Linked DNA regions of Caenorhabditis elegans. The protein of the gene in region 1 purifies or fractionates together with the protein of each later gene. This does not show direct contact. Each region holds a gene or a part of one and is shown in the gene's direction. Other genes may lie near its edges.

The links.
Region 2: the proteins of tin-9.1 (region 1) and mrpl-53 fractionate together in Caenorhabditis elegans (co-fractionation; one large-scale study listed by BioGRID). This does not show direct contact.

The regions. Positions count from the first base shown.
Region 1 is NC_003282.8:7,042,629-7,046,731, reverse strand, and holds tin-9.1 (Mitochondrial import inner membrane translocase subunit Tim9), read left to right. Parts: upstream 1-2,129; coding exon 2,130-2,291; intron 2,292-2,494; coding exon 2,495-2,569; 3' UTR 2,570-2,674; downstream 2,675-4,103. Other genes in the region: klp-18 (Kinesin motor domain-containing protein), read right to left, coding at 3,435-3,584, 3,630-4,049, 4,099-4,103. UniProt on the Caenorhabditis elegans protein: Mitochondrial intermembrane chaperone that participates in the import and insertion of multi-pass transmembrane proteins into the mitochondrial inner membrane.
Region 2 is NC_003280.10:9,595,230-9,599,087, forward strand, and holds mrpl-53 (Mitochondrial Ribosomal Protein, Large), read left to right. Parts: upstream 1-2,392; 5' UTR 2,393-2,395; coding exon 2,396-2,488; intron 2,489-2,535; coding exon 2,536-2,704; intron 2,705-2,751; coding exon 2,752-2,879; 3' UTR 2,880-2,972; downstream 2,973-3,858. Other genes in the region: E02H1.5 (uncharacterized protein), read left to right, coding at 1-55, 100-324, 375-473, 527-696, 747-869, 1,212-1,298; E02H1.6 (Adenylate kinase isoenzyme 6 homolog), read left to right, coding at 1,473-1,589, 1,638-1,804, 1,851-2,000, 2,046-2,160; Nuclear hormone receptor family member nhr-19, read right to left, coding at 3,246-3,311, 3,543-3,727, 3,776-3,858.

The DNA.
Region 1 (4,103 bases):
TTTGTGTATTTAATATGAAGTTCGAGTTCAGGAGCTATTAAGAGAAATTTTAGAGAAATTTTAATTCTAGGCTTCTAGTTTTCACTGTTTTAATACTATTGGGAAGGAATTATCGCAATGTTTTCAAAAAAAACTTATCTTCTTGGTGAACTGAACTATTTTTTAATGGTTATTGTGAAGTGTTCAAGTTGAGCAAATTTTAATTTCCAAAAAACTAGTGAAGTAAATTTGTTTATAAATGAAGGTGAAGTAACACTAATGTCAAAATGGGCTAATAACACAGAATAACTAAATTAAAAATCAAAAAAGAATCTTCAAAATTCTCTCAGTCAACGTTTTGGTAAATTGTCAAGTTTTTGAAAAAAATTGAACTGCAATACAATATGTACAAACTTTAAATACAAAAATTTAAAATATAAAACTCATAGAATAACGTTTTTTGAAGTATTTCATATTAGGTGAAAACTTAGCAACTGAATTTTTTCGGTCATTCGATGTTTCCAACAACGTTTAAAAATCGTTTTTAATTGATATTTTATAATTTTAGCACCATGGTGCATATGAGTAATTTTAAATTCCCCCCCCCCCCCCCCCCACTGGCGTATAAAATTACTTATAAAAGTTTTCAATTCTTCAGAAACAAAATAAAACCTGACAAGAAAAAAAAATAATAAAAGTAGAATCTTCATTATTGGCATTCATGATTTTCAAAGGTGCAGACGAAAAGAGTTGATGATACATAGAGAAACAAAGAAATGAGTGAGCAACGAAACATGCTCAGCACCCCACTGGACTTTCTCGTTTTAATATTTGTCGACAGAAATTCATTTGAGACCTGCTGCTTGTATGTTGTGATGTGTGAATTGAAATCAAAAGAGCAAATGCAAAGATGGGATGATTATGTGGAAAAGGATATATAAATCTGTCTAGAATTGCCAGTAATCTTGGTTTGCACTTTATGTAGTTGATACGAATTATGTCTCATAGATAAGAACTTTCGCATATTGATAACTCTTTCTGATTTATGACGATTTTTCAGAAAGTCACCTGAAAACCATTTAAAAAATATCACTGAGTCTTATATTGAGCTCGAGTACAGAATGATATTTTATTCATGTCATATTTCCATGACAACATTCATATATTTCCTCTCGTGCTAGACTGATCAGATTAAGACTAATAAGCATGTATTATGCTGACAAAGGTAGCAATTCTGCAGGGATTGAGCTCCCAAGAGAGCTCAGACTATACTAATTCTGAAATCGGGAATAAGTAAGTTGAAAAATTTCTTGCGGCTCTTAGAAAATAAAGATTTTTAAATAACACTCAGATGTGATATGGTTTTAGATTATAGCCGGAAAATACGGTACCCGGTCTCGACACGATCGATCTTTTCAACTGTGAAAGGGGTGCGTGCCTTTAAGGGGTACAGTAGTTCCTCACTCCTCATTTTAGCCGAATTTTCTTAGATTTTTCGATTAATAAATTTTTTTGTTATTTAATCACGTGTTTTAAATATATGTATGAGTCTTTCAATAAATTTCAGGGAAATCAAAATAAATTACACAAAACCCAAAAGTTGGTAACTACAGTACCCCTTAATGGCACACACATTTTCCCACATTAAAAAATCTGTCGTGTCGAGACCGGACGCTGTGTTTTAAGAAAAGATCACAACGTTTTACATCTGGGTGATATGATTTGAAATTGGATTTATTTTCATGAATTGCTATTTAATATGTTCCCTGTTAAAAATCCTGAGAGCACGAAATGTGTGTGAAGTTGAAGAGACGCAGATAACGATCAAGGAATGCGCCAGCAAAGGACATTGGCGCACAAAAAATGTTATTTTCTTTTTGTTTAATTGAGATTTTTAAGATTAAATTTTTCGTTTTCAGAGCGTTAAACCAACTTTGTTCGATATAATTTATTTTTAATTAAAAACAATGTTTTCTTTGTAAAATTCTTTAACGTTTGACATAATAATCAAACTAGAACATCACTTTTACGTCATTTTTTTAATTCTTCCGGTAAAATATCTAGAATTTCCACAACTTTAATTTTTTTCTGTGCATTTTGATATAACTTGTTTCTATATTTATTTTTTCGCATTAATAATCAATTTTAAGATGACCAGCGAACAGAACATCCAGACGTTCCGTGACTTCCTCACTCAATACAATTTGGTTGCTGAGCAGTGTTTCAACTCGTGTGTTAACGAGTTTGGAAGCCGAACAGTCAGTGGAAAAGAAGAATCGTGCGCCAACAATTGTCTTGACAAGTTTCTCAAGGTAATTTCTGAATATTTTTAGCTTGAAAAAGTATAAAGACTGCAGCGTTTTCAACTAGTATTCTATTAATTTTTTCATTGCGCATTAAAAAAATTGTAAAAAAAGGTTTCTCAAAAGTTGTTCACAATTGCAAATTTCCAAAAAACTAAAAAAATTAAAGATATTTGACAGATGGTGAAAATTGTCATATTCCCTTTTTGCAGATGACACAACGAGTTTCTCAACGATTCCAGGAGCATCAACTTCTCAACGCTCAAGCCAACGGAGCCGCCATGTGATGATTATTGTTTGAATTCCTGCTCCTTTTAGTGTAGATTTCACTATTATTGTTGTTTTTTGTTGGTTCGATTCGAAAATTCGAGATAAAATAATAACTTCAATTCAACAGTGTAGCTTTATTCGAGTATTTGGAATTGTAAATTAATAAAAACGAAGAAGAACCGAAATAATATTTTCAGATTTTCAGCAAGGTGGAAAACGGAGGTAAAATTAACAAAATTCAGTAGAATATTCAGGGCTCTGGAAGCTCCAGCTGCGATCAGTTTCACGAACTCTGCTGTTTCGTCCTCGGGGAGGAAACATGCGTTGAGTTTTTGAAATCAAAACACAGCACATTTAAGAAAAGTTTTTGGAAATATTATTTAGAGATCAATTATTAATCTGAAAACTATCTAATTTCCATAATTAATGAACATCAAATCCAATCTGCTCGTGAGCCAACGCCATTTCATTGAGCATCGAGTTATCAAAACATGGTTTCGGAAATTGCCGCGCACCCCTGGAATAAGCCTTTTGTATAAATATCAACCATTCGTTGTTAAAATTCCGTGATCATCGAAGACTATGCTTAAAAGATAAAAAGATGTCTAAAATTCTACTCCAACCAATACAAGTGAACCGTAAGTCCATATTGAGAATTGAATAGAAGCAGTGTTGTAGTTTTTGTTTACTAGAGCAGTTAAAAATTTACTCCAAGTTAACTAAAATAAGTGTCAAAATGATAATAGGGGGAATAGAACTTGAAATAATATGAGGGGAGAAAAAATATCTTTGACAATGGTAAAAATAAAGTGAGTATTCGATATGGAAGAAAGCGGGGGGGGGGGGGCTAATATTTACAGAAATAAATTAAGACGATTTGTCCTATGGCTTTGTGGTCTGACTGCGAAGCACTGGCTTATTGGCCGATTCTCCTCTCATGATCTTCTTCAGTTTATCATTCTCTGAGCGAAGTTGAGAAATGGTTTCTTCGAGAGCTTTCTTCTCGACGCGAAGTTTATCCACGTAACCCACCTGAAAACATCGAATTAGCTTTTATTCATACGACCATTGATTTACCCGATCTCCTCTTGTTCGCAGACCTGCGTTGATGACCTCCGTGTCCTGTGAATGCTGCGATTGAAGAGATTCTATTGTCTCAGAGAGCACGCGATTCTTATTTTCCATGACTTCTAGCTTTCCTTGATTCTCGGCCAAGCTCTGTCTTCGAATGGTGTCTTCTTGCTTTTTCAAGCTAACAGAAAGCTTCTCTTTGAAGGTGTTCTCAATTTCAGACATTTTCATGTCAAACTTCTGTTTCTCGTCATTCTGAAGTTTTTTCATCATTGCTTCGGATTCTTTCACTCTAGCGTTCGCATTGTCCAGCGAGAGTTGCATTGATTGAATCTCCAATTTCTTCTTGTGCCTGCATTGGTCAATATCCTTTTGATGATCTTTGAGCTGTGTTTGCATGGCAGAAGTGGTCTCTTCGGAAATTTTCTGTAAATTATATAAATACACAACCTTAATCTTTTACTTATTGACGAACCCTCC
Region 2 (3,858 bases), on another chromosome or scaffold:
TCCAGAAGAAAATTGAGAGCAGTGGAATACGATCGTGACTATATTAATTTCGATGGTAGTATTTCAGAAATTGTTCTACAATAATTAACCAAATTCCAGACGATAATGAGATTCGCCGTCTAATCGTCACTGTCGAAGAAGCCCATCTGAAGTGTCGTGATCAAAATTGGTCTGCTCAGATGCTTGACGAGCAGGATGTAGCTAAATGGACTGTGGAGCTTGAAAAATATTTTACCGAGTTTGGTGCACCGTCTGGATGCTCCAGAGCGGCGGCGATTGACTATGTCTTGAACGCTGCTGTTCAAAAGATTTATGAACAGAAAGGTTTGCAAAATTAGGTGATACGTTTAAATACACGATATCTGTATTTCCAGGCGGTGACACTGAACTCTGCTCGAGTCGGCTCAGAGAACAAGCTGAAAAAGTGCTCGAAGCACATCGAGATTCCCAAAATCCACTTAACCGACTTGATTGTGAGTCATAAATTCCTTTTTAAAAAATAAAATTTAATTATTCTCATTCTTAGATTCTTCACCAAATTTTGCTGAAAATGCACGTGCTCTGTGCTCAATTCTCGGCATTTCTGCTCATCACCCCGATCCAAAAGTTCTAATGAAAGCTGCTTGTTTGTATATTGCTGAAAATTTGGGAGATGATGTGATTGCTGAAGAGACTGAAGAAGTATTGAAAAATAAGGTAACCGAGATTTTTTTCGAATGGTTTTTTAAAAATAAAATTTCTTTCAGAAAACTCTAAATATCAACGCGTTTCCAATTGGAATGCAAGCTCCAAAGAATGGAGCCGTACATTTTTCGGCTCGTCTTCTTCGTCTCATTTGTTTACGACAATTGCGAGTGGTCTCCAGAATGGTTAGTAAAATTTTTCAAAAATGTATTTTTATTAAGTGTTCTTTGGGAGGAAACCATATTTTCAAAAATCGAATGTGATTGATGTATGGCGGTGTCTAGCTGAAGCCTTTGAAGTTTTGAATTTTAAAAATATAAATGATGTTACTAAATTTTGAAAAAAATTCAAATTCAAGATAGTTGCTCTTTGCTCCCTACAAGAACAAATGATCATTCATATTTTACTTTTCTGTACGCTTATCAAAGGCATCCATGACAACCATAGATATGTGGCTCCGCCCCGGTCAACCCCTTTCCGACGGGCTCAGTCGCATATTTCAATTGTTTTCACTTACATGTTTTCAGATCAACGAAACTCTTGTGGAAATTCAAAACTTGACGATGGACATGTCAAAGCGAGCTGACTTGAAGCAGGTTCAATACGGAAGATAAATAAAATCTTTAATTTTGTTTTTTTTTTCGGGTCTCTGTAGCACGCTGTAAATTTATTAAAATATTAATTTAATCTTAAAATTGTTTTCCTCCAGTTCTTGCTGTTTTACTCACAGCTTATCATATTTCACCACTCTCCTGTTTTCCAGATAAAAAATGAATGAGTTTATCAGCATGGCAACACCGGAAACTCGTCGACGACCGAATATCCTGGTGACTGGATCACCCGGAACTGGAAAATCAACGCTCGGACAACAAGTTGCTGAGAAGCTTGGATTTGTATTTATTGAGGTGAAATTTTGAAATTTTAAGTAGTTAAAGATCCTATAATTCTTCCAGGTCAGCAAAGAAGTTCGAGAAAACAATTTGCAAGGAGATTTCGATGAGCAATACAACTGCCACGTTCTCGACGAGGATAAGCTTTTGGATCACATTTCAGATCGTTTGGACAGTGATGAAGGTGGTATCGTTGTCGATTATCACGGATGTGACCTTTTTCCAGAAAGGCGAGTTTCGAGGGTTCTACAGGAGTTTAATTGTTCGTGATTTCAGATGGTTCGACGTGGTCGTAGTTCTTCGATGCCCCACAGAAAAACTGTATGATCGTCTACAATCTCGTGGATATTCTGAATTCAAGATTAAAGAAAATGTAGAATGCGAGATTTTTGGAACTCTCTTGGAAGAAGCCAGAGAGTCGTATAGGTTGGTGTTTTCTTATTTACAGAAATTCAACAAAAATTATTTCAGTGAAGACATCGTCCATGAACTTCAATCAGAAACAACTGAACAAATGGAGGAAAACTTGGAAAGAATCTGCGAACTTGCCGGAGAGTTCAAAAATGAGCACACCATGGAGCAGTGATTTCGGATTTTGAAATTCATTGTTTTCACTCTTTAATCTTACATTTTTTTGTTTTTGTTGTTGTTGTCGTCCTGTTTTTTTTTGAATTTCCATCATATTTCATTTTTTTCCCCTATCCAAATACATATATTTTTTGCACAATTAGTTTTCAATTATCAAATAATGGTCTATCAGCCAAGTTTTACCTTTCATATATTTTTTTAATGTACGATTTTAATAACACGAGTTTCAGAAAATGAGTCAACTTTGGTCAAAAATCAGATATGGAGTACGATGGAATCCTGCGGAGAGGCTGGCACTTGCTACAAGAGCGCTCAATTTGCAAAAGGTATACAGTTGCATTTTTATTGTAAAAAAAGTGACAATTTTATTTAGGTAAAATCAATCGATATCTCATTGGATCCACTTCATCACGACAATCTATCAATTCGCACCTTTTGGCACTCGATAATGGCTCCAAAAGTGCGCCTAACCAACCCAAACGTTCGTGTCAAAACTGATATCCGGAATGATCGACGAGCACCATTTTTTGTTGCGACTCTTGGTAAGTTATGGTAGTAATGGTCAATTAAATATATATTTAAAATTTAGACGACGGTCAAAAATTGCACTTTTCAACTGAAAATATGACTGCAATGGATGTGATTATGAATTTCAATCGATTGACTGGACAACCAGAACTCGGAAAAGCTGGAACCCGCCCGAGAGCGAAGATTTAAATGTTTTTTCTTCCTTGTTATCTTTTTATTGTTTTTTTTGTATCCTTTAGTAGTTATTTGACAGTTCGAAATAGATAAAATTCTTTCATTTTTTCTCTCAATTTAATTAGTTATTTAATTAACAATCAATATAACATTCGCTACCCGTAAAGAAAGAGTGACAAGTGATACGTAGGTGTGGTTGGTTGAGGGAGAGGAAATGTACAATTAAAAAATTCTTTTGGAAATCGAGGTATTTGAGTTGTGTGATCACGGAGCAAGAATCATTTTTGAGCAAGTTTGATATTTACACTGGGATATTTGGGAGATAGAAAGAGGAAAATTTAACAAAACAAAAGCTATGAGAAGTCTAATTTTTAGACATTTTCAGATATTGAACAGAAGTTCCTGGGAAAGTGGATCGAATGGTGTGATTTTGAATAGACGCATCACCTGGAAATTTATATTACATTATTCTTTAATTTTCAAGAAATATATCTACATATTTCAATTGATATCTTTTTTTTTTGAATTTGATGAAAATTTGAAAAATCCGCGCCTCGCTTTAAAGAAGGCGGGCACTTTTTTTCCGGAAAATTGGTACATTTCTCATTGTTTCAAGGCTAACTTTCTATACATGTTTTTACTGAAACATAATATTTTCTAAATTCATCGAAAACTCACTTGATAAGCCTCCAACATTGATGATGCCGCCGATGAAACTCCGGACAGCATCAGAACTAAATTCCCGAACCTTTCTGCATAGTTTTGCAGTCCAACACTTTCATAATAAGCGAATAATGCTGACACAACTTTATTACGGAAAGTTAGCACAATGCGACGAGAAGCTTCGGTGATTTCAGAGTAATCTGGAAGAATTATTTTCAACTTTCTAGAAAATGTCTTGGAAATCTCACCAGAAGAGCATCCACAATTGAAGAGCACAATAATCTTGATGACAACAATCTCCTGTGGGCTCAATTTGAGATTTCTCAGTGGA